Elephas maximus indicus: one gene and its partners. The protein of the gene in region 3 purifies or fractionates together with the protein of the main gene of each other region. This does not show direct contact. Links are inferred from orthologs where the notes say so. Each region holds a gene or a part of one and is shown on either strand. Other genes may lie near its edges.

The links.
Region 1: the proteins of AP1B1 (region 3) and AP1S1 fractionate together in Homo sapiens (co-fractionation; 6 studies listed by BioGRID and IntAct, with this or other methods). This does not show direct contact. The link is inferred for Elephas maximus indicus from reciprocal best matches to the Homo sapiens genes AP1B1 and AP1S1.
Region 2: the proteins of AP1B1 (region 3) and AP1M2 purify together in Homo sapiens (affinity purification with mass spectrometry; 3 studies listed by BioGRID and IntAct, counting the BioPlex papers as one, with this or other methods). This does not show direct contact. The link is inferred for Elephas maximus indicus from reciprocal best matches to the Homo sapiens genes AP1B1 and AP1M2.
Region 4: the proteins of AP1B1 (region 3) and AP1G2 fractionate together in Homo sapiens (co-fractionation; 3 studies listed by BioGRID and IntAct, with this or other methods). This does not show direct contact. The link is inferred for Elephas maximus indicus from reciprocal best matches to the Homo sapiens genes AP1B1 and AP1G2.

The regions. Positions count from the first base shown.
Region 1 is NC_064830.1:92,570,993-92,578,003, forward strand, and holds the start of AP1S1 (AP-1 complex subunit sigma-1A), read left to right. Parts: upstream 1-4,007; 5' UTR 4,008-4,092; coding exon 4,093-4,095; intron 4,096-6,126; coding exon 6,127-6,305; intron 6,306-6,919; coding exon 6,920-7,011. UniProt on the Homo sapiens protein: Subunit of clathrin-associated adaptor protein complex 1 that plays a role in protein sorting in the late-Golgi/trans-Golgi network (TGN) and/or endosomes.
Region 2 is NC_064821.1:28,633,417-28,641,155, reverse strand, and holds the start of AP1M2 (AP-1 complex subunit mu-2), read left to right. Parts: upstream 1-4,726; 5' UTR 4,727-4,794; coding exon 4,795-4,836; intron 4,837-7,739. UniProt on the Homo sapiens protein: Subunit of clathrin-associated adaptor protein complex 1 that plays a role in protein sorting in the trans-Golgi network (TGN) and endosomes.
Region 3 is NC_064840.1:27,187,211-27,195,073, forward strand, and holds the start of AP1B1 (AP-1 complex subunit beta-1), read left to right. Parts: upstream 1-4,858; 5' UTR 4,859-5,010; intron 5,011-5,212; exon of another isoform or gene 5,213-5,289; intron 5,290-7,863. UniProt on the Homo sapiens protein: Subunit of clathrin-associated adaptor protein complex 1 that plays a role in protein sorting in the late-Golgi/trans-Golgi network (TGN) and/or endosomes.
Region 4 is NC_064828.1:34,906,640-34,914,641, forward strand, and holds the start of AP1G2 (AP-1 complex subunit gamma-like 2), read right to left. Parts: upstream 3,008-8,002; 5' UTR 2,990-3,007; coding exon 2,955-2,989; intron 2,814-2,954; coding exon 2,609-2,813; intron 2,235-2,608; coding exon 2,110-2,234; intron 1,959-2,109; coding exon 1,817-1,958; intron 1,696-1,816; coding exon 1,599-1,695; intron 1,425-1,598; coding exon 1,348-1,424; intron 1,233-1,347; coding exon 1,137-1,232; intron 701-1,136; coding exon 620-700; intron 310-619; coding exon 211-309; intron 18-210; coding exon 1-17. Other genes in the region: JPH4 (junctophilin-4), read right to left, coding at 5,054-5,137, 6,130-6,662, 6,968-7,086.

The DNA of each region.
Region 1 (7,011 bases), on a different chromosome or scaffold from region 3:
AAAAGAAACTAAAGATGTATATGACTCCACCCACAAGAAGCTTACAATCTAGTCAAAGAGACAAGGCATACTCACATATGCAATCAATGGACATCATGGCATGATAATGAAGTTAACCAGTCAGGGTTCTCAGTTACAAGCAACAGAACCAGCTCTGGAAAACTAGCGAAAAAGGAAATGATTTCCTTTTTTTTCCAGCGAAAAAAGAAATCGGGTAGCTCATGGAAATGCCAGGAGGGCCAGAGTACTAGGTTGGAGGTCTCACACAAGGAACAGTGCCCCGAATCATACCTTCGTCTTCATCCCTACACCTCACTAGACACAGGACACGGCTACTGGCGCCACTCCACTGCGGTCCTAGGGACTCGATGCTCCGACCCTCTGTCACTCTCCTGTCAATTGCCCCATCCCCACCTCATTCTCTCCTGGGCCAAAGTCTGGGAGATGGACAGATGGGCAGAGCCCAGCAGACACGCCCATGCTGTGGCTGCAAAGGAGGCTGTGAAAGTGAGTATCTGAAATTTTCAGATGCTACAGTGGGAGGTTGTTCTATCTCCCTCTGGACTCATAAAGTGGGGATTTCCAAACTCTAGAAACAGGGTTTTTAGAATCTAAAAAAGGTTTAGAATCTAGGAGATGAAAAAGAATGACAAACATCTACCACAGAAAGTATTCAAATGCTCAGGACTGAAAGGAACAGTATATAGGAAGGTATGAGTTCAAACAAACAAACAAAGATCACTGCAAATGAGTTCATCAGGGAACTATGAAAGAATGGACCAAACATAGGTGCAGAGAACATCACAGGAGAGAGAAACACAGATCATAGACTCATAAAGATGGAAGGGCTTCAGAGGCCATCTGGGCCACCTTCCAGCCACCACAGGAACCACCTTATAACCAGATGAGGGAAGGCATGTGGAAGTGTCAGCACGGTCATGGGGAGACAATACAAATTCCATCCCCACCTATAAAGGACAATCTCACCTCTCCCATATTTTTCCGTTCATAAAAATGGCACCACTAATCCTCCAGGCTCGTCTTTGATTCTTCTCCCTTCTTCTCTATTTAGATGAGTTATCAACTTCTGTTGACTGGCCCACTGCAAGTGTCTCTCTAATTTATCCTTCCATTTCCTCTCACGCCTGGATTACCAAAACTGCTCCTATACGGTCTTCCAGCCTTCCATTTGTCCTTTCAAATTGTCCCACATATTACTGTAAGACTGATTTTCCTAAAAGTGTCTTTGCCAAGTTATTCCCCAGCTCAGGTGACTGTAATGACTCCCAACTGCTTACTGCGTCAAGTTTGAACTCATCTGCAGACAAAAGCTATTGGATGAACAAAAGGTATTGAATCTACTAACTTACAGATCCCCTACAATCATCGTGTACTAACAATGAACAAACCTAGTCGTCATCTTCTAACTAGTTTCACCCGCTTGGATTCTATGATTCTACGTGAGCAAAGCCCTTGTTTCTAACAATTTCCCATGAGTCTTTTCTGCAGCTAGGCATACCACATTAAAATGAGGAACTCTAGAAAGCGTTAGCTTTCTAAGGAATGTAGGAGTTTACATCTCTAGAGCTTCCAAATTTGCACAAGCTGTTGCCTAGCTCTCCACTTTGTCTTTACCTCATTTCTCCTTACTTCCTTGTTTGCAACCTCCTCCCCTCTCCCATGAGCACATTTCTTTTTATTTGTTTTGCCTTCTGTCCTGCTTACACATAACGATCTACCCTTTCTAACTCTTACAACTTGTTTTATTAATGTTACTTTTGACCTAATAAATAACACCAAGATACTTCAGCCAACATCTATGCCATTGGCAAGCCTAACGCATCAGCAGAGGAGAAAGGGAAATGAAAAAGAAAGGAAGAAGAAAACACAAAAGAAAGAGGAGTGTCTTACTTATCTATTCCTGCTATAACAGAAATACCGAAAGTGGGTGACTTTAACAAACAGAAATTTATTTTCTCACAATTTAGGAGGCTAGAAGTCCAAATTCAGGGCAGCAGCTCTACAGGAAGGCTTTCTCTCTCTGTTGGTTCTGGGGGAAGGTCCTTGTTCTTTGGTTCCTTGGAGATCTCCCTGTGGTGTGGTATCTATCTTCCCCCAGCTCTGCTTGCTTGCTTGTTTAATTTCTTTTATATCTCAAAAGAGATTGATTTAAGACACACCCTACACTAACACTGTCTCATTAACATAACAAAGAAAACCCATTCCCAAATGGGATTATAACCGCAGGTATAGGGGTTAGAATCACAACACATATTTTGGGGGGACACAATTCAATCCATAACAAGGTGGGAATGGGAAATAATGATAATAGCTACCATTATCAAGTTTACAATATGCTAGATAAAAAAAAACTTTCTATATATTATCTCTAATCATAAGAGCAACCTTGTAAGATAGGCATTGCTACCCTCATTCTTAAAATGAGAGATGGAGGGATACAGATTAAATGGCTCACCTGAGGCTATACATCTAATAAGGGTGAGAGACAAGATTCCATCCCAGATGAATTAGCCCCACCCCATTGTCGCTAGAGCAGAACCGCCATAACAAAGAACCAGAAAAAAAAAATTAAAAAATTAAGTGGAGACATGTAAGGCTTTACCCACAATTACTTCAACTGCTACTAAAACATAATAGTATCATCTGTTGCCAAGAATTATCTAGAAATACCCATTAATTTTTCAGCATGACAAAATTTAAAATGTTCTCCTAGGCTTAAGATAGATAGCTGCTGTTGAGTTGACCCAAACTCATGGCAACCTCACGTACAACTGAACAAAATGCTGCCTGGTCCTTCATCATCCTCATAATTGCCATCATGTTCAAGCCCATCATTGTGGCCATTTCGCCAATCCATCTCACCCACTGTCTCCCTCACCCTTGCTGGCCCGCCACCTCACACACCATGATGTCCTCCTGAAGCAATTGGCCCCTCCCAATAATGTGTCCAAAGCAAGCGAGTCAGATAATGATCTGTTGTGCTCCACAAGGTTTTCATTGGCTAATTTTCAGAAGTAGATTGCCAGGTCTTTCTTCCTAGTGTGTCTCAGTCTGGAAGTTCTGTTGAAACCTCCACCAGGGGCAAGCCTGGTGGTATGTGAAACACCAGTGGCACAGCTTCCAACATCACAGCAATGCACAAGCCACTGCAATTCCAACAAACTGACAGAAAGCAGTGATGCTATCCTTACAGAGCCACCCCTTTTCACCACCACATAAACACACACACACAGACATGCACAGGTGTGCACACTCACATATACACACACATCCTCAGTTAAAAAGCTCATCTTACAATCTGCACCCTACTCATCTTTACACATATGTCTGGTTACGTCTGTCCCTTTTTAGTTTTGATACATGCTAATCTTTTTAAAAAAAAATTTTTTTTATTAAGGTTCCCTTTATTCTCCCCCTTGAGCCTTAATTTCCCTTCATGTTTCTCTCTCTTCCTTATATCTCTTTTAATATGAGCCTCACCTTTTCTCTTTTATCATTCCCCTCATTTCCTCACACTTCTCTTACTTGAAGAGAATGTTGCACCTAGCAGGTTCTCAGTGGATACTAATTTTGAGCTTTATCTTTGTCTTCCTGCCTCCCTGATCATTCCTCTCCCCCTACATCTAGTTCCCACCCTGCTCAGTCTCAATTGCCCACGTTCCTTCCATTAGTTCTCCTTGCTTCCTCACAAATGCCAATGGTCGTCCCATACATTTCTCACGCCTTTTCCCGCCTTTTTCCCCCAAGGTTCTATAGCGCGAGGACTCATTGTCTTCCTCCCACATCCTCTAACCAACCTACAAGACAGCCTTGTTACCATGACGACAGAGCTACTCAAAGCTGAAGTCAAGGACCTGGTTGCCATGGCTCCCGCTTGTCCGCCTCCAGCCCCTCCCGCGCGCCCCGTAGCGTTGGCGCCTGCGCAGTAGGCAACGCGCCGGGCCTCCGAACTTGGGCGGGACAAGGCGGGGCTTCAGCCGAGAGGGAGGGAAGAAGAAGAAAGGATAAGACGGGAATAGAGCTGGCGCCTACGGTGGCCGAAGAGGGACGCGCCGAGCCGGAGGCTGCAGGATGGTAGGCTGTGCGAAAAGGGAGGGGAGGGGGGAACTGAGGGGCGTGGGCTGCACCTGAGGGGGTCCTTGGGGGCCGCCCTCTGTGCGAGTCGTTCTTTCTTCACTGTCGTCCTCAGAGACCCTCCTGTATCTGGGCGGGTGGGCGAGGCGGCCTCCGAAGGAATTCCTGGGAATGGCATTCGAGAGGAGTGGGGAGGAGGCGCATTTGCTGGGCGAGAGGGGGCTGATGTGGGGACGGCGGCACCGGCGAGACCGGACTGAGCCAGGAGTGGCCGGGTCTCGGTCCGAGGGGTGCCGACCCCTGCCGCCGGGAAGTCGCCCGATGTACAGGGGCGCGGGGGTCTGCTCGTGGAGGGAGGGAGGAAGGGACTGGGGGCCGCCGGTCGTCAAGACCCTCTGTTCTCGAGCAGCCCAGAGAGGAGCGGCGGCCGGTGGGGGAGAGCGGGTGTGGGAGGGAGAGTTTCCGGGTCCGAGGAGGGGACGTCCTGCCTCGCTGTATCGCCATGCTCGCCTGGGGGCAGCGGTGAGGCGGGGAAGCGAAGGGGGCTGGAGCTTTGGCTCTCAGGGACCCAGGCTCTGAGCTCCTGGGCGCCGCTGCTTTTCGCTCTCCGCCCCCCTTCCCATTCTTTTTCCGGAACCCAGGCCTTCCGTCTTCCTGCTCGCCCCACCGCCCCCATCATAGACGCGCCCCGCTCCCTGGCGCCCCTCTCTTCTCCTCCTGCCACAGTAACAGTACTTCCTCTTCCCTACCCCCGAAAAGCCTAGTTCTCGCCTGGCCTTGAATTCAGATTTCTAGCCCACTGTGCCATACGCTAAGGAGCCCTGGTCGCTCAGTGGTTAAGTGTTCCGCTGCTAACCGAAAGGTCGGCGGTTCGAACCCACCAGCTGCTCCGTGGGAGAAAAATGTGGCAGTCTGCTTCGGTGAAGATTTACAGCCTTGGAAACCCTACGGGGCAGTTCTACTCTGTCCTATCAGGGTCGCTCTGAGTCGGAATCAACTCAACGGCAGTGGGTTTCGTTTGGTTTGGTGCCATACACCCAGGGATTCCAGACCTGGTATTGTCCACAGAGAGGAGAGCTGCTGGGAGGAGGAGATGAATCTGGAGCTAGGAAGCTGGAGGTGCACTGGTAGTGAGGGCTCTGCTCTCCTCTGCAGTCCACCCAGCTTGCTCTGTGCGCCACAAACATTCCCAGGTAGCTGTGTCCTCACTCAGGGACCCAAAGAGAGGTTAGTCATCCGGGGTCTGAGAAGTGGGCGCTTAGCAGAAGACAGCCCTAAAAGGCAGAGATGCTAAGAAATCAGAGGCCAAATATCTGGATGACTGCAGAGAGAAGAGGGTGGAATTTGGGATCCCAATACTATGTGCCAGGAGAAGGATAGGACTGGCACCAGAGGGCAGGGTGTTTGGGACATCAGAGAGGACTCATGGTTAGGATGGGGTGGAGAGTAGAGGTAGCTTGTTGAGGGGCAAAATATCCAATTTCATGGTGGTGATGGACAGAAAGAACTTGGAAGAGACCAACCATCTCTTTAGCATCTCTTTAGGGGCTTCTTGTCATGATGCTGGGCATTTTACTTATCTTTAGGAAACAGGAGGTCAGGAGATAATAATTATAGTACTTAACACATTACAATGCTTACCATGTGCCATGCACTGTCGCTAATACCAACTCATTTAATCCTTCCTAAAAATTTTGTAAGGTGGGCACTTTATGATCTCCATCTTACAGATAAGGAAATAGAGGCCCAGAGTCATAAAGGAATTTACCCAACACCATACCCAACTCGTAGGGTCTGGACTTGAGCCCAAATGACAGGCTGAGAAGCTCTGACTTCCCCCAGAAGGACAGGTACCACGTGGTGTGAATACCCAGCATTGACAGCAAAGGGCTGGAATTTTTAAGAAAGCAGGAGCTGGAGTGGAGAAGAGTTAGACGGGATGAGTTTGGGACTGTGTGTTTGTGGAGGGAAGAAGCTCAGAGGAGCAAACCTCTGACCCTCAGCTCTGCTCCCCCTACCCCCCCCCCCCAGATGCGATTTATGCTGCTGTTCAGCCGGCAGGGGAAGCTGCGGCTGCAAAAATGGTACCTGGCCACATCCGACAAGGAGCGAAAGAAGATGGTTCGGGAGCTTATGCAGGTTGTGCTGGCTCGAAAGCCCAAGATGTGCAGCTTCCTGGAGTGGAGGGACCTCAAAGTCGTCTATAAGAGGTGACACATCACCTACTGTCAAAACTGCCTGGATCCTGTTCGATTAGAGTTTGGCAATGGGTTAAAGAGAGGGGATACTGGTAAACAAAGGGCCCCTTATGTCAGGGAGAACTGGGAGCTAAGAACATATCTGGACGTCACTGATTAACCCCAGCTTTCCTTCCTGCCAAACTCCTCTTGAAGAAACTCTTGTTCTCCACTTGATTTTGGTCAAGCACATACCTCTGTCCCTAGAGGCTCCATTTGGTCCACTGTGTGTATCCCTTGTAGTCTCAACAGTCATAGATCCTGCCCCACTTTCCCAACACACGCAGACACATGTACCTTATCCAGTTCCTTCTTTAAGCAGGTGAATTAGTTGGCTAATTTTTTGCTGAGTCAAACAACAGGTCAGAGGGCAAGAAAGAAAAAGTGTGTGTCTTTGCGTATGTGTGTGAGAGAGCACCAGGAGGCAGAGTGAGTTACCCTGTCTGTGTCTAGTGGAGGCACAGACTGGGCTGGGAATGAGGAGAAACAGGGGGTTTAAGCTCAGAGTGCCTGGGTCCTGAACCCAAAAAAGGGTCCTGAAGCAGCCTTCAATTCAGCAGCTATGGCTCATGTACCCCTCTCTCCAGATATGCCAGCCTCTACTTCTGCTGCGCCATCGAGGGCCAGGACAACGAGCTCATCACGCTGGAGCTGATCCACCGATACGTGGAACTCCTGG
Region 2 (7,739 bases), on a different chromosome or scaffold from region 3:
AAAACAAGTTGTGGTACAGCCATAGAGCGAAATATTTCTCAGCCCATAAAAATGAAGTCCTGATGCCTACTGCAAGGTGGATAAATCTTAAAAGCATTATGCTAAGTGAACAAAGCCAGACATAAAAGGTTACATATTGTATGATTTAAGTTTTACGTACAATTCAGAATAGGTAAATCCTTGAAGGCAGAAATCATATTAGTGGTTGTGAAATCCCACTGTGCCAGTGGCAGAAGCAGCTCTGAGGGGCACAGGTTGGCTTCCAAAAAAAGAGGTGGAAAATGCCAGGTTGTTCAGATCTAGCTGTATTAGAGAACTTACAGGGTTTGACGCCAGGATTCTCTCCACAGTTAGCGAAGCGTGGAGTGTCACCTGGGTAGAGAACCACGCTCAGCAGTGCAGGCTGGGAGTTTATATACTTAGCGCTTACATGCAAAGATGTGTGCAAGGGACCCAGGGGAAAAAAACTTCTCTACCGTATGATGAATGAGGTTGTTTTTGTACTAATTAACGGCTTCCAATTGACATGACCATGAAGTCAGTCATTTGCCGTATTTTTTCCTGGCCTGGATCACTGCTCAGTAAGGTACTCTGGTTCTCTCCCAGCGTTCTTTGCAGGCAGAATCCACCTTGTATTCTTCAGGGCCCTCTCTGTGGTGGCTGGGAGATAGGGGGAGAAGGAGCAGGGAACAAATGCTTAATGGGTAGGGGTTTTCCTTTGGGGTGATGAAAATATTTTAGAATTAGATAGAGATGGTGGTTGTACAACGGTGTGAATGTACTAAGTGCCACTGTCACTGGAATTGGTTAATTTTATGCTATGTGAATTTCACCTCAGTAAGAGTTAACTTTATATAAGTATGGTATCACACAGCTGTGATGGGGGGAGCAGCGGGCACTGGGAAAGCACAGAGGAAGAACGTGATGGAGACACGGAGTGTAAGACAGAGAGGGCTTCCCAAAGGAGAAGGCCTGAGAGCTGAATGAGAATAGAACCAAGTGGTAAGAGCAAAGAGGGGCAGGCGTTCTGCAGAGAGGGCTCAGGTGCCGGAGGAAAGAGAAAGGCAAAGAGGGGAACTGAAATTATGGAAGTCAGTTGTCTGGGGCAGCGGTTCAGGGTGCCCTGCGGCAGAGGTCAACTGGGGGCAATGTCTGAGGGCAATGGGGAGCCACGGGGGATGTGAGAGTGGGTGAGACCATAGTAGTTGTATTTCAGAGGTTCCTTTAGTGACATAAAAAAGGGATTGAAAGGGGTTCCTAGTGGCAGGGTAGCTGAAAGAAGCCTGGTGCAGGCTGCAAGTGTCTAGAAGCTGGGATGGGCGTGGTTGCCACCAAATAGGCCAGGCTGGGCAGGGCCAGCCAGACAGAGCTGCTCTGTTCTCTGACCCCACTGCAGCTTTTGGGTTCATGAATTTTTCAGCCAAACAGGCATTGAGTTTCAGATTCCAGTGCACTAGGCCCTGGCTTTTGAGTTCTATTTACTACCTGAAAACATCTCACTAAGGGCCCTAGGAGGGGAATCCTTGTGAGGCTCCGGGGTGCCTGAGTTGGAGTGAGAGCCTGTATCGCCCCAGACCACCTCCTGAGCAGGGAGTGGGTAAGAGCATGGAAGGCCCTCCCTCCTTTGGGCAGAGGCAGTATGAATTCCTGGGCTTTGCAGGGCTCGAATCCCAGTTTGGTCACTACTAGCTGGGTGATCTTGTGCAAGTCACTCACCTTCTCTGAGCCTCAGTTTCTCCATCTGTCATATGAACATAATAAACCAAAAAAAACCCACTGCTGTTGAGTCAATTCCAACTCATAGCAATCCTATAGGACAGAGTAGAACTGCCCCATAATGCTCCCAAGGAGTGGCTGGTAGATTTGAACTGCCAACCTTTTGGTTAGCAGCTGAGCTCTTAACCACTGTGCCACCAGGGCTCTGTGGAGATAATAGTGTTCCCTAAATTAAAGAGTTGTCTCAAGGATTCCCACACACCAGATATTTAGGGTAGTGCATATGCCTGCATATGTTGTTAGGTGCTGTCAAGTCGGTTCTGACTCATAGTGATCCAATGTACAATAGAATGAAACACTGCCAGGTCTTGCACCATCCTCACTATCATTGTTAAGTTTGAACCCATTGTTGCAACTATTGTGTCAATCCATCTTGTTGAAGGTCTTCCTCTTCTTCGCTGACCCTCTACTTTACCATACATGATGTCCTTCTCCAGGGACTGATCCCTCCTGATAATTTGTCTAAAGTATGTGAGACAAAGTTTCGCTATAATGAGCACTATATATTGGATACACTGTGGACTGCCAGAAGAATGAACAAATCAGTCTTAGAAGAAATACTACCAGAATGATCCTTAGAAGCAAGGACAGAGAGACTTTGGCTAGCTTACTTTGGACACAATTGTTAGAAAAGGAAATCATGGTTGGTAGAGAAACCAAACCTGTTGCCATTGAGGGTCAGCAAAATGAAGGAAATCCTCAGTGAGATGGACTGACAACAGCAGCAGGGACGGGCTCAAACACAATGATCATGAAGATGGCACAGGACTGGGCAACATTTCATTCTGTTATACACCAGATCACCAAGGGGCTCTCAAACCTGATGACTCAGGCAATGTGTGGTGGAGTCAGGATTCAAACCCCGCACTTGTTCTCTTAACCACCACAATCCTCATTGTTGTCATAATTATCATCATTATAGCTGTCATGATCAAGCATGTTCCATGCACCATGTTGCATATAATAACTCATGCTGTTGTGTGCATGATAACCCAACAAGAAAAGTGCAGTTATGAATCCTTTTCACAGATGTGAAGACTGAGACCTTGGGAGGGAGGCCAGGTACCAGAGGCCACACAGCTGGCCAGTTGCAGAGCCAGAACCTGAGCTCGGGCAGCTGGATCTGGAGTCCATGAGCTTCTCTGGTACACGTGTAACAATAAACAACAGCAAAACCAATACTAGTAACTGCTGTGTGCCCAACTCTGCACTGGGCTCAATCGCTTGGATCATCCCTGCTCATAAAGTTGTGGTGGAAATTCAGGGACACAGTGAAGGGCTGGCAATAATGTTGTCTTACAGTGTTACTATTTACAGGGCCTCGAAGACCTCTGTCAAATGTCAGCTCTGATCTTCCTGACTTATAGCCCCTATTCACTCTCTGTCAGCCCTGCCCCCTAGTACCCTTGTCTTCAAAGGTCTCATCCTCATCAGGAATCATCTTTTTTTTTTTTTTTTTTAATTGTGTGTCTCTCACCCTCCCTAGAACCGGGGTACCAGCCTTGTCTACATCACAATCCACAAGAGCACAGCGGGTGCTCAATAAATATTCATTAGCTGATTGGATCACCATCAACATGACCATCATCACCATAACGAAACCCCTTCCAGATGCCCAGTTTAGCACACAGTAGGTGGTCAGTAAGGATATGCTGGAATAATATTATGACATAATAATTACAGTCATAATAAAACAGGTTGCTGTCCTGTTGATTCTGACTCGTGGTGACTCCATCTGTTACAGAACTGCTCCAGAGGGTACTTTTGGCTGTAATCTCTTTTGAAGCAGGTTGACAGGGCTTTTTTCCATGGCTCCACTGAGTGGGTTCAAATCACCAACCTCTAGGTTAGCAGCCGAGTGCAAACCCTTTGTGCTACCCTGGGAGTTGTAGCCATAATAATAACTATCATTTATCCTTTCCATATTCTATCTACATCTTAGTGTCACATTTTTCTTGTGTGCCATTGAGTCGATTCTGACTTATAGCAATTCCATGTGACAGAGTAGAACTGCCACATGGAGTTTTCTAATCTTTATGGGAGCAGGTCACCAGGTCTTTTCTCCTTCGAAGCCGCTGGTGGGTTCTGACATTTCAGTTAGCAGCCTAGCTTAACCATTGCACCACCAGGGCTCTTTTAGTGTCACAAACCCATTAACCCATTGCCACTGAGTCAATCCCAACTTTCCAACTCATAGTGACACTGTAGGACAGAGTAGAACTGCCCCATAGGGGTTTAGGGTTTCCAAGGCTGTAATCTTTACAGAAGCAGACTGCCACATATTTTTCTCGTGGAGTGGCTGGTTTGTTTGAAGCATCTTTGGGTTAAAAGCCAAGTGCTTTAACCACGGCCTTACCAGGGCTTAATAAATAATTTTGAACAAATGGACAAGAGTTACGTTAGGAAAACACTAAAAGCAGCTACATTTGTCTTGCTCAGAATCCTTCCCAAGGTTCCAGTCACTGAGTGAAAGAATTTATTAGTGAGTAAATATTTGAGTGACAGAATAAACTAATTAGTAAATATTTATTGTATGAATGAATGAATTCAACAAATATTCAACACCTACAAAAATTTTTTTTTTTTTTTTTATACTGTGTACCTTTTTACCAGGTCTTTTACTGGGCGCAGAAGACACAGGCAGGAACAGGACAAAGCCCCGGCCCTATTGGGGCTTGTGTACTTATGGTAGAGACAGAGGAGAATGAATGAATGAATGGAGGGACCGACTGACAGACAGGCGGTCGGTTGGTCCGCTGTCTTTGCCCACCAGCACTCACAGGTGCAAAGAGAAAGTGAGCCGGGGCCTCTGTCTCAACCGAAGGACCGCCCCCTTCCAGCCCTCTCAATAGCTGTCGCGTCTGCCGACCGCGCCGCTCACCTGGCGGCGGCCTCCCCTTTAAGAGGGCTCACCTGGGCGCTCACCTGGGCGTGGGCGCTTCCGCAGGAAGAAGGAAGCGGTGCTGTCTTTACCTTCTGGCTCTCCCTCTTCGCCTCTCAGATCCACCGGCTGCCACTATGTCCGCCTCGGCCGTCTTCATCCTCGACGTCAAGGGCAAGGTGAGGCTAAGCGCAGGTGTAGGGGGCCAGACCGGTGAGGCTAAGCTCCCCCCAACCTAGGGGCGGCACATCCGCGCAAGCTAGCAAGACTCCAGAAAGCTCTTGGGGCGTGGAAACCTACGCCCCCCTCCACTCTAATTCCCGTGTGTCCGGGTTGAATTCTACCTCCACCATTTACTGGCCGTGTGCCTGGGACAACGGGCTTTGCCCCTCGGGTTCTTAATTTCTCCTGCCTTAAAAATGGGGGTAACTAAGGTCCCCACCCAGTCAGAACTCATAAAATTCAAAGTGTGTAAAGCGCTTAGCACATTAGCCCCGATGCAAACATTAGGCGTTCAATAAATTGAAGTTTATATTTCCATCACTGTCATCTTCCACAAAATTAATACCCGGGGAAGGCTGCAGAAGGCCCTAATTCCCCTTTAGAGCTGCTTTGTCCTTTCCTGAAGCTCCCTTATCCACCTTGTCATTCAGCAATAGCAGCAGTAACAATGGTGGTGTGAAAATAATACTGATAATATTAATAGTGAAAGCTATTTAGAGACTTGCTGTGTGCCCTCTCTGTTCTAACCACTTGACTCAACAGCCTAAGTACTATTATTATTGCTGGCTTACTGCTGGCAGGGCAGACAGACATGAACTCTAAGAGGTGCATGGATAGAATCTTCCCTCCCCTCCCCTCCCCTCCTCTCCCCTCCCTTTCCCCTTCCCCTCTCCGTTTTTCATAAGCCCTACCTTACCACTCTGGTGCATATGAAGCCCGGGGTGAGAGCAAGAATTCTGGAGCCAGGCCGCCTTGTTTCGATTCCCAGTTTCCCTGCTTACTATGGACATGGTTCCATAGACTCTTTCATAGCCTCAGCTTCCGCATCTATAAAATGGAGATGATGGCAACACCTCCATCACAGGGTTTGTGGTGAGAACTAAATAACGTGGTAGTTGTTGTGAGGTGCTGTCGAGATGGTTCTGACTCACAGTGACCCCATGTACAACAGAATGAAACACTGCCCAGACCTGCACCATCCTCACAGTTGTTGCTATGTTTGAGCCTATTGTTTGCAGCCACTATGTCAATTCATCTCATGGGGGGTCTTCCTCTGTTTTGCTGACCCTCTACTTTACCAAGCATGATGTCCTTCTCCAGGGACTGGTCCCTCCTGATAACATGTTCAAAGTATGTGAAGGAGCACTCTGGCTGTACTTCTTCCAAGACAGATATTTGTTCGTTCTTCTGGCTTGTTGTTAGGTGCTGTCCAGTCGGTTCCGTTTCATTCTATTGTGCATAGCAACCCTATGCACAATAGAATGAAACACTGCCCTGTCCTGAGCCATCCTTACAATCGTTGTTATGCCTGAGCTCATTGTTGCAGCCACTGTGTCAATCCACCTCATAGAGGGTCTTCCTCTGTTCCTCTGACCCTGTACTCTGCCAAGCATGATGTCCTTCTCCAGGGACTGATCCCTCCTGACAACATGTCCAAAGTATAGAAGATGCAGTCTCGCCATTCTTGCTTCTAAGGGGCATTCTGGTTGCATTTCTTCCAAGACAGATTTGTTCATTCTTTTGGCAGTCCATGGTATATTCAATATTCTTCACCAGCACCACAATTCAAAGGCGTCAATTCTTCTTCAGTCTTCCTTATTCATTGTCCAGCTTTCACATGCATATGATATGATTGAAAATACTATGGCTTGGGTCAGGTGCACCTTAGTCTTCAAGGTGACATCTTTGTTCTTCAACACTTTAAAAAGGTCTTTGCAGCAGGTTTACCCAATGCAACATGTCGTTTGATTTCTTGACTGCTGCTTGCATGGCTGTTGCTTGTGGATCCAAGTAAAAGGAAATCCTTGACAACTTCAATCTTTACTCCGTTTATCATGATGTTGCTCATTGGTCCAGTTGTGAGGATTTTTGTTTTCTTTATGTTGAGGTGTAATCCATACTGAAGGCTGTAGTCTCTGATCTTCATTAGTAAGTGCTTCAAGTCCTCTTCACTTTCAGCAAGCAAGGTTGTGTCATCTGCATATTGCAGGTTATTAATGAGTCTTACTCCAATCCTGATGCCCCGTTCTTCTTCATATAGTCCAGCTTCTTGGATTATTTGCCGAGCATACAGATTGGATAGGTATGGTGAAAGGATACAACCCTGACACACACCTTTCCTGACTTTAAACCACTCAGTATCCCCCTGTTCTGTCTGAACAACTGCCTCTTGATCTATGTACAGGTTCCTCATGAGCACAATTAAGTGATCTGGAATTCCCATTCTTGGCAAGATTATCCATAATTCGTTATGATCCACACAGTCGAATGCCTTTGCGTAGTCGATAAAACACAGGTAAACATCCTTCTGGTATTCTCTGATTTCAGCCAGGATCCATCTGACCCCACTTGTCTGTCAGTTTGTTGTACTGTGGGGGTTTGCACATTGCTGTGATGCTGGGAGCTATGCCACTGGTATTCAGATACCAGCAGGGTCACCCATGAAGGACAGGTTTTAGCTGAGCTTCCAGGCTAAGACTAGGAAGAAGGACCTGGCAGTCTACTTCTGAAAAGCATTAGCCAGTGAAAACCTTATAAATAGCTGCGGAAGATTGTCTGATAGATAGTTCTTCTGACAGCCCATGGTATATTCAATATTCTTCACCAACACCATAATTCAAAGACATCAATTCTTCAGTCTTCCTTATTTATTGTCCAGCTTTCTCACGCATACGAAGTGATTGAAAATATCATGGCTTGGGTCAGGCACACCGTAGTCCTCAAAGTGACATTTTTGCTTTACACTTTAAAAAGGTCTCTTGCAGCAGATTTGCCCAATTCAATACATCATTTGATTTCTTTTTCTTTTTTTAATAAACTTTAGTATTTAACCCAGTTTTAAGTTTACAGAAAAATTGTG
Region 3 (7,863 bases):
TTTTACTGCTGATTCCTAGTTTAGATTTTGATCAAAGAATGTTATATGAACAATTTCTGCTATATTGGAGTTTATTGACATTTTCTTTGTGCCTTAATTTATGGCCTCTAATAGGAGCCCTGGTTAAGAGCTCAGCTGCTAACCAAAAGGTCAGCAGTTCAAATCCACCAGACCCTCATTCAGTGACACTGGTCATATTCTTCACAATGCATGAACATTCTCATTATTTCTATCCTGGTTGTCCCGTTTCCATTAATATAGTTTCCCTGTGCCCTTACTTTCTCATCTTTGTTTTAAAGTAATTGCTGGCCGTTTGGTCTCGTACAGGTGATTTTTTAAAGGAGCACAGTACTTACAAATGATATTCATTATCCTGTGAGCCCATCTGTTATTTAGCTACCAGATGACCTCAGGGATTAGTTTATTTTAGGGTTTAAAGAGTATCTAAGGGCAATACTCTTGGGGAGTCCTCAGTCTCTACCAGTCCAGGAGGTCTGTCTTTATTTTTGTTTTTAGGAATTTGAGGTTCTGTTCCACATTTTTCTCCCATTCTACCAGGGCCCATCTATTGTGGCGCTGATTAGAATAGTCAGTAGTAGTAGCCGAGCAAGGTATGTGGGGGCCCTAAACACCGATAATCTGTGGTGCTCCCTCCTCTGCTTACTCAAGCATTAAAATAGGATCTATGAGTTAGTTAGATACATACATACATATATATGCATATATATGTGTGTGTGTTTGTGTGTCTTAGCTATCCATGGTCTAACTTTTTAAATGTGGCTGTAATATTAGTAATTGAATGCAAAAGTGGTACATGTCATTTTAGTGGAATAAGATGAACTGGATTATAAAATTTTTAGTGGATGCAGGGTACAAAGATTTTTACTATATACCACATTTTCTAAAAAAAAAAAAATTACACATATTCTACAAGAAAATGAGTTAGTGAACTCAGTTGTTTCAACAATCAATGTGAAATTCTGTTGATGTCCCACAACAATGAATTCAGGGAACTTTTAGAACATTATAGGATTAAAAAACAGCAAACAAACAGAGAAACTGAAGTAGAGGAATAATAACCACACAGGAAAAAAAATATAGAAATTGTCTGGGATGCTGAAATATATGCACTGGGGCCTATGCAATGAGTTTGGGGTAAAAAACCCGTTCCCGTCGAGTCCGACTCAGAGCGACCCTATAGGACAGTGTAGAACTGTCCCGTAGAGTTTCCAAGGAGCACCTGGTGGATCTGAACTGCCAACCTTTTGGTTAGCAGCCTTAGCTCTTAACCACTATGCCATCAGGGTTTCCAAGTTTGGGGTAAAAAAAAAAAAAAAACTGCCCTCGAGCCGATTCCGACTCATACGGACCCTAAAGGACAGAGTAGAACTACCTCATAGAGTTTCCAAGGAGCGCCTGGTGGATTCCAACTGCCGACTTTTTGGTTAGCAGCTGTAGCTCTTAACCACTGTACCACCAGGGTTTCGAGTTTGAGGTGGAGGCGATTAATTTTACCTGCGCGCCCTCTAGTGGGCATAGGGGGAAATAACAATTTGTCCGACCGATATTTATCAGGCACCCCGTGCGGAGGCGGGTGGGAAGGATGTGCTGTTCTGAGATTTTACTGATGGTCACCCAGTGCCAGCGTCAGGTTCTGGATCATCTCACAGCACCACAAGAACTCCCAAGCTTATTGGGACTGGACGAAACCTTAAGAATCAGGGGAGGGGAGAAGCATGGACCTTGGAATTATCAGCCCTGGTTTGACTCCCAGCTCTGCCCATTGCTGCCGTGTGAAGTTTGGACAGCCCCTTAAATTCTCAGGACCTCCGTAAAATGGGGGTTATCATAGTGCCCACCTCATGAGGCAGTGAGGGCACACGGTGGAGTTTGGCCGATAGTGGGTACAGAGTTCTCAGGAGGAGAAACTGAGGCCCAAAGGGGTGGATGGACAGCCCTGTGCAGTGTCAGCCAGCTTATGAGGGCAGGGTGGAGAATGAGTAGGGCTTGGAGAAATGTTTAAAAATGCCTTCCTCCAAATAGATAAACAAAATGTGGTACATACCTACAATGGAATGACTCAGCCATAGAGAGAAATAAGGCCCTGATACATTCTACAACATGGATGAGTCTTGAAAACATCGTGCTGAGTGAAATAAGTCAGCCACAAAAGAACAAATATTGTATGATTCCACTTATGGAAATATCTAGAATCGGCAAATGTATTAAAAAAAAAAAAACTAGAATCGGCAAATGTATAGCTACCAAAATCTATTTATGGTTACCAGGGGTAGATGGGAGGGAGGGGGAAAGGGAAACTCATTTGCTTAGAGGACACAGGGCTTCTGTTAAGGGTGATACAAAATTCTGGAAACGGATTGTGGTGATGGTCGTACAACTTGATAAACACAATTGATGTCCACTGAATCGTACATGTGAAGAATGATGAAATGGCAAATGTTTTGTTACATATATATTCACACAATTAAAAAAAAAAAAAAAAGGCCCTGTCCTCCATCCAGAAGGCAATGCTATTGTTAGTAATGGTGTTTTTGTGGGGAGAAATTAGCTCACTCCTCCGGATGGGCTTTGTGACCACTGGCTCTACTCTACCCATGCTGGAGCCACTGCCTGAGATGAAGAGGCAGGGCAGCCCAAGTGTGCCCCAGGTGTGGCTCTTTTGGCTGCAGCTATCAAGAGTTTCACCGTTGAGTGTGTGACTCAGTGTTGCCACCTGGGTTTGGGGGGTGAGGGCAGGGAGGGAGTCCCTTCATCTGGATTTCCATTCCCCACATCTGCAAGCTGTAATTATCCAGCCTTTGGCACTGAGCTGTGCACCCTCTTTTTTTACCAGGCTGAGCAGAAACCCTGGTGGCGTAGTGGTTAAGTGTGACAGCTGCTAACCAAAGGGTCAGCAGTTCAAATCCGCCAGGCTTTCCTTGGAAACTCTATGGGGCAGTTCTACTCTGTCCTGTAGGGTCGCTATGAGTTGGAATCGACTCAACGGCACTGGGTTTGCTTTTGGGGTTTACCAGGCTGAGTTGGGGCAACGGAGGCCCAGGCCCATGGGGAAATGGGGGAGAAATTGCTCTGCCCAGAGCCAAGGGCCCCTTGGCCTAAGTTTTCTCATCTTTCTCTGGGGTCAGTCATGGAACTTCAAATTGTTGGGAAAATTCAGTGAGTTAGTATGTGGAAGAGCCTAGCACATTGCCTGCTTGGCGGTAACTGTCGAAAGTAGTCGTATCCACATCGTTCATGGTTCAGCCTGGATATCACCTCCTCCAGGAAGCCTTCCCTGAATTTCTCAAGCTGAGTTTGGTGTCCAAGTTTCCTGTGTATCCTAGTCCTTTCGCTGATCACTCAATGTTATAGTGGCCCCTTTATTTGTCTTTATCCCGCACTCAACAGTGAGCCCCAAGGAGGCATTGTGCTACATCTTGCTCCCTGTTGTATCCCAGTCTGGATGGCTCAGGTAGGAGTGACAAATATAATTTAGGCGAATGAGACTTATGAGGAGAATATGTTTCCTGGAGCTGTAACAGACATATCATAAGTGGGTGGCTTTAACAAACAAATTTATTTTCTCACAGTTTAGGAGGCTAGAAGTTCAAATTCAGGGCACTGGCTCTAAGGGAAGGCCTTCTCTGTTGGCTCTGGGGGAAGGTCCTTGTCTCTTTTCAGCTTCTCTTCCTCAGTACCTTGACAATCTTCATGTGGTGTGGCATCTATCTTCCCCCATCTCTGCATGCTTCTCTGTGCCTAATCTGTTTGTTTAATATCTCAGAGGTGATTCGCTTAAGACACCCTACACTGATATGGTCTCATTAACATAATAAAGAAAACTCTATTCCCAAATGGGATTATATCCACGAGTATACCCAAAACCAAACCCATTGCCGTGGAGTCGATTCTGACTCATTGCGACCCTATAGGACAGAGTAGAACTTCTCCATAGGGTTTCCAGGGAGCACCTGGTGGATCTGAACTGCCAACCTTTTGGTTATTAGCCGGTGCTTTTAACCATTACATCACCAAGGTTTCCATATCCACAAGTATAAGGGTTAGGATTTATAACACGTATTTTGGGGGGACACAATTCAATCCGTAACATCATTTTACACCTTTAGTCAGCCTCAAATTCATTCTTTTAACTTTTAATTTTGAAATGATTATAAACTTAAACTGCAAAAATAGTAGAGTCCCCTATACCCTACACCTTGCTTCCCCCAATGGTTACATCTTATATACCCCTCAAAGTCAAACCCAGGAAATGGAAACTGGGTACAATACTGTTAACTAGACTACAGACCTCATTCAATTTTCAAATCCTTTTTTGAAGCAGACAGGAAACAAGTAGAATATTTTTATATTACATGCCATGCCTCGTGAGGTCCTGGTAGACCCAACGAAAGGGGAAATGGGACTTTATGAAGTTCTCCTTGGATGAGAGTGTCTTGGAGGGTCTGATCTTTCCCCTAGAACGAGGATTCCCTAAGGACTGCCATGAAAGGCAGAGAATGCTGGACTAGATTTACAGTTCTAGTTTTGATTCTTCAATGCAAAAGCTGAGTGACCTCTCTGGACCTCAGTTTTCCCGTCTGGAACCAGAAGAAGGAGAGAGACCTCAAAGTCTCTAGGATCTTTCCCGTCTCCGTCACACCAGCACCACTTCGCAGTCAGCTGGCTCACTTCTCCAGCGCTGTACGGGAGCCGGCAGCTGAGCAAGGCCCTAGCGGCGGTCGGCTCCACCCCCTCCTTTGCCCCGCCCCTCGGGCACCACCCCTGGCCCGGGGAGCACTCTTGGCCCCGCCCCCAGGCCGTGCGTCCACCGGAAGTGTGAGCGCGCGGGCAGCTCACTTCCGCCCGGCAGGTGACAGCCGCGGGGCTGAGAGCGGCCCGCGGTGCGGACACGCCGGGAGAGCGGGAGGAGGAGGAGGCCGCGGACATTTTGCTGCCGTGCCGATCCGAACCGAGCCGAGCCGTGGCGCCGGGAGCCGCTCGGTCTTGCGGGTGAGGAAGCGGAGTGCCGGATGCGGCAGGAGAAGAAGTGGGACGGGGAGCCGGGGGTCTGAGCTGAGGGGTTGGCGGGGTCAGAGGTCACTGAGAGGACAGGGCGACAGTGGGTACGCGAGCGGCCTCCCTGGCTCGGAGGAGGCGGAGGGACTGCAGGCTCATTCATTCGCGCCCCCTTGGCCTCCGACCCGCATCCCAGCTGCCCCAGGCCTGCAGCCCCGCCGCCCGGGAGACGCCCCCAGACTCAGGCCCGAGAAGCCCACGCCTGGCTGAAAGGTAAACTCGTCTTTGGGCTTTGGTTTTCCCGTTCACACTGACCCTCAAGGCCAGCCTGAGGCCTCTTCGTTAAGGGCCTTTTTCTCCATGTCAAGGTTGGAAAAGAAACGACCCTCTGCCGCCGGCACCCGGGGAGTATCTGAGCTCGGTCTGTCCCTTGGCGCCTCCGTGACAAGTTGACTGAAGACACGTATAACAATGCTAAAATGATCATTATTGGTTATCGACCCCTACTGTGTGCCAGGATCTGTGCTAAAATACCACGTTTAAACCTCCATTCAACACTCGTGAGATAGCTACTGTTGCTATTCCCTGTTTACGGATGAGGAAACTGAGGTACAGAGAGGTTAAATCACCCAGGTAGACGGATCAGATAGTGTAGACAGAGCCAAAATTCCTATGCAGGCTTTCAGGGGCCTGCGAAGTGCAGAGGCAGGCTGGAGCAGGGCTGGGGCGTAGGGGCTGCTTAATACTCAGCTGCCACTATATCTGTTTGAATCTATGTTACAACGGTAACAACGTGTAAAGATGTAGCTTTATTGCTTCTCATCTGATCTTCATTTATGCCCCTGCCTTTGATTCATTTTTCTTTAGAATGAAACAGTCCCGCAGACTGTCGCTATACACCTTTCAGGGCAAGAGTGGCAGTCTTTCCTGACTTTTAGGCACTGTGAGACATAAAACACCTTATCTGGGAAACTAATTTCAGAATATCAGGAACCTCTCTTGCAGGTGGTTGAGCTGCATTCCTTTTGGAATAAAGAGAGGAACCACATGACCCCTACAGGATCTTTTGGCCCTAGATTCTAGAAGGATGTATTCAAGGGGAAGGTCTGTGCCTCTTTGAAAAATGTGGAAGCCCCATTCTTCTTGCCTGGGAGATGGTGAGGTGGTTTGGTGGCCGGAGAACTAGGCTCTGTGAGTCTGAGCCTTTATTCCTTTGCAACATCCACCCCCTCTCATTCTGCCTCAGTTTCCCTGACAGCAGCATGAGAAAGACCTGCTGCCTCCTTACCCCTTCGTGGGTGTTACAAGCCTTAGTGAATCTGCTAAGGTTTCCACATGCTTCTGAAGAAAGCTGTGAGGTAAATATTACTGTAGTGCCTTTTTTGTTTGTTTTTTTTAGCCTCCATGATCTGTTCTCCTAATTACCGAATCCACAGAAACTTAATATTGTCATCTTATCCCATTCTTCCAAGGGAGGATTTGAATGAAGTGACTTGTCACAGTTGGTAGGAACATGAGCAGAGCACCAAGCATCTGGTTCCCTGCCCTGAGTTGAGCCGTTTAGAAACTGTCATGAAGAGCAGCTTGACAAGTTATCAAAGAATCAGATCCCTCATAGTTTGTGAGACTTGAGCAAGCCTGAGTGGTTTGAAGGGGCTCAAAGGTACAAGAGAAAGAGCACACCCCGACTTTCCAGTAGTCAGCCCTGGATTCTGACCTCAGTTCGGCAGCTTAATGGTAGCGTGATCTGGACAACTTACTTAGGCTGGGCCTCTTTTACCTCAACTCAAAAATAATACTGAGTCCCCACCCGGCCCCCCGACACAGGTGGTTGTGGGGGTTAAGTGAGGACATTTGTGCAATGCGCCTAGTATAGAGCAAAATGTTATTATCGTGGTGGGTGTCTTGACTTCAGGCCTGTTGATCCTCAGGGGGCTTTTGCCCAAGGAAGGCTGCCAGCTGTGGTTTATGGGGCGTTACTTCCTTCTGCAAACAGAGACCTTTATGTTCAGAGGACTTCTCGGACCCTTCTTGTTTCACTTCCTCAAAGTACTTCAGGACAGGCTCAGTCCGTCAGTCCTGCTGGCTCTGGGCTTGGACTTTAATCTTTTTGTAGTCATCATCTTGTACATCTTGACTGCTCACTTCCCATTCAAAACCCACATCTGGCACAAAAGCCTTGATATGCTACCAGTGAGCAAGCACAACTTGGGTATGGGTTTTGCACTGTAATATATTTCTTAAATCTGAGGGGGCATCTGTTCTTTGAAGATGTTTCCTTTTCCAAACAGGTCTTTTGCCTAAGAAAGGTGGTTGATAAATGCTCACAGCCCAGAAATGATCTTTCTGTTTTCTCTGTCTTCACACAGAGAGCAACAAATACTCCTGAGAGAAAATATCACTCAAGCAGTTGGAGAATCCTTAAAAAAAAAATCCTGCTTGAAAATCCATCAGTGGCTCCTCATTGCCCTCAGGCTAAAACTCAGGCTCCTTAGCATGGCATTCAGGCCTTTCGGGAACTGACCCTTCTTGGCTCTCCTATCCCACATTTCCACATCCTCCCAAGTCAAACTCAGCTGCTTGCTTCTTCTCCAAGTCCCAGCTTTACGCCTCTCTGTCTTTGTGCTGTTCCCTCTGCCTGAACACTCTTTCCTGCCCACCTCCCGCCCTTCTTTACTGGACCACTGTTGGAGCTTCCCATCTGATTATCACCCCACCTTGCAGGCCTGAGCTAGATGGCCCTCCTTAATGTCCTGTGGCTCTGATCATAGCGGATATGATTGTTTACTTGGCTATCTTCCGAGTAAACAGCTCTAATTCCTTAATCCTTGATGAAGACCTGTCTGT
Region 4 (8,002 bases), on a different chromosome or scaffold from region 3:
ATATTGACGGCTAGAACCTATGGGAAGCAGAAGTTGGGGACAGTCAGGAAACGCATACCTGCTCATTCAGGAGTAGGGGCCACATGGCATATGATGATGGGTAGACTCGATGGCACTGTTGGTTACTGGGTTAGAGGGCAGAATCCAGTGAACAGGACCTGAAACCCTGGCTGGGGTGGTGGGCAGGGCTACAGTGGGAGAGGCATATACCCGTAGACCAGCTGCAGAGCGTATGTCCATGATGGTGAGCACTGTCTCCAACAGGACCGCGTTACCCGCATTTCGGCTGGTTTCTGTGTTAGTGGCCACCTGAGTGGATTAAGAGAGGAGATACAACTGCAAAGGGCTCTGTCCTCTCCTCAGGTCTCTTCTGTGTTGTCCGTCCACCCCTCAACCATCCAACAAAGTTCCCTTAGCCCCCTGCTATGTACCAGGGCCAGACTGGACACTGGGCTACAGCACTGAGACAGACTGTGTCCCTCATGGAGTTCACAGTCTTGAGGGTAACAGAGAGGTGATGATATAGGCACTCATGGAGGGTAGTCATGTGAGGGATGCCCACGGCTGGTGGGATCACAGAGCAACACACCTAACCACTGCCCCTTCCCCAGTCCCGGACCTGGGCCAACAAGTCATTCATGGTCTCACTACTGTCTTCGTGGTTCCGGCCCAGAATCCGAAGCAGACGAAGTATCTGGACCTGAGGTTGGGTTAAAGGTTGAAAGATGGAGGAGCTCATAGGGTAAGGAGTCATGGGGCTGAGGAGAAAAATCCAACGTTGAGGAGAGCATCGTGAGGGGTCTGGTTGGCTCCCTAGAGCCTCCTTGCCCCTCCCTTTCAGCTCCACAGGTCCCTGGGGGTCCTGGAAAGGTACCAGAAGTCTGCGACACCTGGGGAGTTTGGGATAGGATTTTTTTATGGCTGTCAAACTGGATCTTCTGACATGGTACTCCCCGCACCTCACCTCCCCCCCTCCCCCCACTGGTGCTGGGATGACCAAGGCAATCCTATGCCTGCCACCTTCCTGCCCAAAACAGTGACTGAGCCTAAGTGTTTTCTGGGAGGTAGGCGCTGGCTGTGGTCTTATTTCTAAGCTCCCTTTGTTCGAGGGATACAGCTCATAAAGGTCAGCCTACCTGCAGGAAGGGGTCACTGACTCCAGATATGCTGTGTTCTGCAGAGTATCCCGATGTCACCAGAGTCTGAAGGATCTCTACCAGCTGGGGTACCACCTGGAGGGAGGGCATAGCCGTGTCTAGGCATTCTTCTTACCCTCTCAACCTCCAGCACCATCCCTCCCCACTGTCCCTCTTTTTCTGGCCCAGTGCCTGCTCTTCAGCAGCCCACCTTTCGAAAGTGCCTGAGGGCTGCAGGGCTTCCTTCGCAGAGCTCTGTGATCAGCGTGATGGTGCCCAGCAGGATGCCTGGGGTCAGGGTGGGGGAAGCAAAGGGTAGGGCAGGGGCAAAGGAAAGTCTACGGCATGTGTATAGGTGTGTGTGCTGCCCTTCTCCTATGAGCTGGTATTCCCGTCACAACCTTCACTTCTTCGGTTCACAGCAAGAGCAGAGGCAGGGGATGGGGAGCCCCGTGGCCTTACCATGGTGGCGCTCTTGAAGTAGTTGGGCACAGGGTGGGAGGAAGATGTTGGACAGCTCAGGGACCTTCCGAATCATGTGCACCGCAGTCAGAACAGCCTGCAGAGGTCAGGGAGCTCAGACAGGGCAGGGGTCCATCAAGTACTATGGCACACCTCTACCACGTGGCAAACCAGGGATGGTTTCTTGAGAGGCAAGTGCCTAGAGTCTGCTGCCTCACCTTCTTGCGCATGTAGGGGCTGGGCTGCAGGAGCAGTTTCTCAACCTCTGTGGCTAGGTCCCGGCACATCTCAGCGGAGCCCACGGTGCTCAGAGTGCACAGGGCCAGACCTTGTACTGGCTGACTCCCCTGGCTCAGGTCACTGCAGGGTTGGGAGGAGGGTCAGTGAAGCCTCTGAAAAAACCAATCCTTCCCAGTACCTATACCAGGCAGCCCCTTGGCATTTCCCAGTTCCCCACTCTCCCATCTCCCTGATTCCAAGTGCTTCCTAGAATCACCCCCAGCCCTCTCACTTCTTGATGCTGTTGGTAATGAGCAGGTGGGCATCCTGCCTCTCATCCAGTAGAAGCATGGCCCCCAGGTAGCCCATTCTCTTGTCTGAGAATCTGGGGGAGGCGATCAGTTTCAGGCACTCCATCTATAGAGAAGGGGTGAAACCAGAGGCACTAACATCCCTGTTCCATCTTCCATCTTAACACCAGATTGACTTGTGGGGCACAATAACCCATCACCCTCCTTTCAACAAGAGGGAGAGGCTTAGGAGATTCAGGCATTTGTAGGTAGTTTCAAGGAACTAGGAGTCCTTGGGATGGGAGAGAAGGTGCCCTGAACGAGACTGGCCAGAGAATGAAGGATTCAGGCCAGCTCACCGCCAATGGGGGCTAGGATGGGGAAGGTTAGCGGTGCATGCTGTGAGAGCTCAGAGACTGCAGAATGACAAACTTGAGGTCAGTGAGGGATTCCGAGACCTGCGCCCCACAAATTCAAGAAGGAGGCGTCCTTGCTCCATACCTGTCCAAAGTGGGCAGGGTAGCCCAACATGTGGACGTAGAGCAGTTTGGCCAGCTGGCGGTGCCTGTGCAGGGGGTCCCCATCCCGAAAGGAGGCGCGGATGTGGGCGCACTCCTTCTGGATCACCTCCCGCTCCTGGGCCTGCGTCTTGGCCCCACGAATCTCCTCGATTAGATCCTGAAGCTTCAGCGAAGGCACCACCATCCTGGGGGGCAGAGCTCGGGAATAGAGAGGGCTTTAACACTCCCTAGCCGAATGTGCCTGCCCTTTCTGCCCAGGCTTGCTCTGTGCCAAGAATCTGAGGGTCCGTGTCCCACTGCTACCCTACAACAGAGCACACATTTACCTTTCCCCACACGGGTCTCCAAATTCCGCCCTCATCGCCCCAGGGAACACCTCACTACACATGCGTTCGGCCCCCGTCCGCCTGCCCCTACTGAGCATGCGCTAGAGCCCCGCCCATTTCTCCCCCCCACACACCTGGTTTCCCATCCCTAGCTCAGCCTGTCCTTTTCTTTCCCGGCCCCGCGCATTTTCTTCCGTGGGATTCCTTCTCCGATTGCCATCTCAGGCAGCCTCAGTTTCCCCACCCCAGGAGCCAGCCCTTTACACCAGCCTCACCTGGCTCCCGTCTCAACTCCACTCCTCTCCCCCCCAGGACTTCCTGGTGCAGGGCCGATCGAGAGGCGGTGCTTCATCTGGCCCGTCCCCCTCCGCACCCCCATCACGCGACCTCGCCCCTCCTGGCCCGCCCTGCTTAAACTTCTGGCTTCGCTGTTTAGGGGAAGTAGGTTTTATTCGCAATGGAGAGGCTGGGGTTCCCCTAGGGGGCACCTCGTACATCATCACCACCCGGAGAGCTTCAGCTTGGGGTTGAAGCCATCGCACCCCAAAGGAGATGACAATCCCCCCCCTTTTTTGAACTTTTTTATTAATATATTTTTTTTGTTAATTTTTTTTTTTTCTGCAAGACTTGATGTTTGCGGCACTGTTGTAGTTTAACTTCAATCCCAAATTCCATGAAATAGAAATCAGAAGTAAAGGTTGAGAAGGTAGGAAGGAGGGAGGCAGGCCAAGGAATAAACAGTTTGACTAGAAAAAAAGAGGGTGTATGTGGTGGGCATTCCCAGGCAAGGCCATTCCTTGAGGGAGGGGATTGGCAGGCAGCTTGCCTCTGCCTCATGCAGGGGAGGGGTCCTACAGTCCCCTTTTCCGAGGGCTTCCTAACCCCCAGGGGGGAAAGCTAGTACCAGGGATCAGGCACAACCTCAAACAGGGCTCTCCACCCACCTCTCACCCCACGTTTGTCTCCTACCTCTGCCCTGCCTGGAAGGTGCGTGAGGGGTCAGCTTCTTTTGATCCCCTCCTTCTGTTGTCTTCCCATTTCACCATATTCCCATGTGAAGGGGGAAGGGACATCACCCATTTTGACAGTGACTAAAAGTGTTGCAGCTTACGCTGCTCTGTGAGTTCCTGTCTGGTTCCATCTCCCAGAAGTGCCTCCCCTCACCACAACTGACAGAGTTGGGGAGTGAGGCCCTTGCTCAAGTGCCTCTAACCCTTTGCAGTAGAAACACCTTCTTTAGGTCCCTTAGGAATTTAATCAAAGGCCACAAGTGAGTCCAGACCATCCAAACTTTTAGGGGGAAACAGAAGGGTGGGAGAGGTCAGTGGCGAAGTTGGGGGGGAGGGGACTTGGTTGCACTGGATTTTTTTTGTTCCTTTTACACTTGCTCTTGCCATGTCACCAGAGGGGGTTGAGGAGGGGTGGGCTTTTGAGGAAAGAAAGGGAGATGTTAGAGAGTCATTCTACTTTTCAATTCCCATATCTCCCTCAGGGAAGGACTGAGTTAGGCAAGAGCCAAGCTCAGTGCTTGAAGCTAAGATCCTCCGAGATCAGAGGTGAAGGCTAACTTCCAGTTTTCATTAGGCCTCAGAGGGACACCTGGCCCCTTGGGTCAGGGAGTGATAGCAGCTCAGCCAGTGCCTTCGCAGCATTCAGTCACCCCTTCTCCACTTTTTTCCTCCTTTCCATTCAGCTTCCAGGAGACTCCTCAGGACACCAAAACCCCACCCTCAGTGAAGTTTAGGTCTAAAGAAAAGGTGAGGAGGGCATGGGGCAATGGTCTGACTTGATTTGTGTGTCTCAGAGAAGAAAGCAACTCTGAGAGAGAAAAGCCCTTCATATGTAAACAATCTAGAGAAAGAGAAGGGGTGGGGATGGGGAAGGGAGTGAGGAAGACAGAGACAGACCCAGAATAAATAAGATAATCTGAAAGGCGAGAGGGATAAAGAAAAAGCAAGAGACAAAAACAAAGGGGAATAGAAAAGGAAAGGGAGAAGAGAAAAAGATAGAAACAACAACCAGGAGGAGGAAAAGAGAAAAAGGCAGGTCCAAGGGTGAAGAGGCAGCCACCAAAGCCAGAAGTAGGCCAGGAAGTAGCCTCAGGTGAGGAGCTGGGAGAACAGGAACGCCAGGCTGAGGTCCAGGAGGGCCACGGCTCCCACCACCAGGAGGCTGGCAGCTCCCTAGAGAGACAGAGAAAGGTAGGCTCAGTCTCTGAGGACCAGGTCAGGCTCTTGGTGCCTCCCTCCTGGGGACAGAGCTGTTCAGCCCAAGGGCCCTGGCTGAGGTGGCAAAGCTGAAGAGTCCCAGGCACCATGATCCCTTCTCCCTTCCCCTCCCTGAAGAGGCCAGAAACAGGGAGGGGCCTCCGACCTTTGTTTCGGATTGCAAAACATCCCTCTTCTCCAGGTCAGGGCCCACCTTCCCTCAGGCACCCACAAGGTAGGGACAGCCCATCCTTCTTCTCTCCTTCCTCCTCCTCTCCACCCACTAGCATGTCACGTGGCCCAGACAGGCTGTGCCTGGCCCTAGTAGCAGACTTTGGCAGCAGCAGCTGTTACTGCAGTAAGGCAGAGAGGGATGAAGGGGTGAGGATGTGGTTGCTAGGAAACAGGAGAAGACCTGGAGTCCAATCAGAGTAGAGGGTTCTGGGGAAACTCCGCCTCTCCCAGTTTTCTGCCTTCTTTCCTATTTCCCTTCTTTCCAGGAGAGGGGGAAGAGTCAGGGTAGGGAGGGAACAATCTTTTCCTTTTTTATTTCTGGGCACCAAAGAGAGAAAGTGCGGGGGTGGGGGTGGAGTAGGAAATTGGGAGCTGGGAATGGTATGGAAGGAGAACAAGGAGAGATGTTCTGGCACTACCAGTAATTATTAGTTTGTAACCTTGGACAAGTTAGTTTCAGTGCTCTGGGCCTCAGTTCCCCCCTCTGTCACTTGAGAGAGTTGGACTTGAAGGTCTCTAAGGTTCTTTCCAGCTTTAAAGTTCTTTTTTTTTTTTTTTTTGAGCTGGGTATATGGTCCAAGACTGGGCAGGGAGAGAGGAAGCTGAGTCCAAATCAGAGCCTGCTGGGGGATCAGACAGGTTTGGAAAGGGCGGGAGGGAAGGCTCTGAGGGAAAGAGGGGCTGGGAAGGAGCTGAGACTCAGAGGGTACAAGTGGGGATGGGGGATGTCTCACCGGCTGGGCAGGCCTCTCGGTGGCACCAGGCTCCTCGAGCTCTTCCGTCAGGCACCCAGCATCAGGACCCCTGGAGGACGTGCCCCTCAGGACTGGAGTGACTGTGAGCCCAGGCTGCGAGCCTCCTGGTGCCCTCAGCTGGGGCAAAGGCTCTTCATCTTCTCCCTCCTCCTCTCGAAGACTTCCTGAACTGTCACTGCAGCCTCCGAGGAGTGGAGAACCGTCTCTGGGCCCTGGCCCCTGCATCCCGGCCTCATCCTCAGCCTCATAACCAGCTAGTTCCTCCACCTGCTCACCTGGGCCCCCCCACTCCTCAGGCCAAGATTTGGGGCTGGAGAAGGGACCCCGGTCTCCTCCAGGAGGCAGTGGGCTCCGGCAGGCAGGGGGTCGCCAGGGTTGGTGAGAGGAGGCCGGACTGCTGGGCAGTTCAGGGGAGCCCTCTGAGGGGGTCAGTCCATTCTCATATACCCCGGGGCTGTCCTCATCCAAGGGCTCTGTGTCGGAACCTTCTGAATCCTGCCTGGGTCTGCGGCCTGGGGCAGGGACAGTTAAGAATCAGAGAGGCCTAACTGGCCTGGACTTTGGTATCCCCAGGCCTATAACCTCTCACTGCTGGCCCCCAGCTCCCCTCCCCCATTCTTATTACCTTTCTTTACAAATTCTCAGTCCCACTTCCCAACAACTGGGCCTGGCACCACTCTCCGTCCCCTCGGACCCTCATACCTTGGTTATTCCCATCCCCAGTCTCCTGCAGGGATTCCCAACCCCCTCCCCCAAACCTGAGCCTGTCCAGCGCCCAGGGGGCTCACCCCCCAGCCCCAGGCTGTCCACACCTCACCTGGGGCTTCTAACATGGGTTGCAGGTCCTGGGCTATCAGTTTGGCCATTCGAGCTGCCTCCACGGCCTTCTCGGCAACACTGCTGGCAGCCACTGCCTTGAGGAGGGCATCTGCTGCCCTGTGGGTCCCAGGGATGGGGATTTAGAAATTTTTTTTACTTCAACTGAGCCCCTGCTCAGGTACTCCAGCCCCGGCCCTGTGTTCCACAACACTGCCTCCTCCCGACCTGAGGTCCCCTCTGGAGTCTTCACCCTTCCTCACACTTGGCCAACTGCTTCCTTCCCCAGCAGGTGAGGGCAGCTCCCCTTCGGTTTCCTGTCCCAGACCTGGGCTGAGCTTAATGCCATCATGCCCTCCCGCTTCTCTCACACCCCTCTGCTGTTAAGTCCTGTAGTAACACCTCCCTCCTTCCAGCTGCAGGGGCCAGGCCCGCCCCCCCCCCCCCGCCCCAGAATGGCTGCCCTCGGCTCCGCTGTCTCACTCCTGTCCTGTTCCCTTCTCAGTGACAACTGAGACCACACTCTCTTAGCACATCCTTCTGCAGCTGCCCTCACTTGGTGCTTCCAAGCTAAGTCTGCCGCCCTCTCTGCTGTGGGTACCTCCTGTTGTCATCGATAATTCTTGCTGCCCCCGCTTTGGACCGCGCACTTCTCTGAGGGCTCCAGGGCATTTTCCTGCCCCTTGTGGTCCTGCCCTCCTAGCAGCCGTGCCCCTCCCCTGCCCCCTTGTTCTGGTCCCCCTCTCCCCTGTGGTAGAAGCCTTTGCTCTCATGATTACCCCTGCCATCCCACCTTATTATTTAATCCTACCTCTTCAAGGGCAGATTTCTTGACAGGAGAATTTTACATCTTGCTTTCTGCAGTCTCTTCTGTTATCCCTTCATTCTCCCCACTCCATCACTGCCACTGTCCCCCCCCACCCCATCTCTTCCTTTTCTGAGTTCTGGAACTGGGGAAAGGGGTCCTTCCTTTCTGCTGTGATCATATCCTCTCTCCCTGCTAAGGTGCCTGCTTTCTCACCACTGCGAGCATACC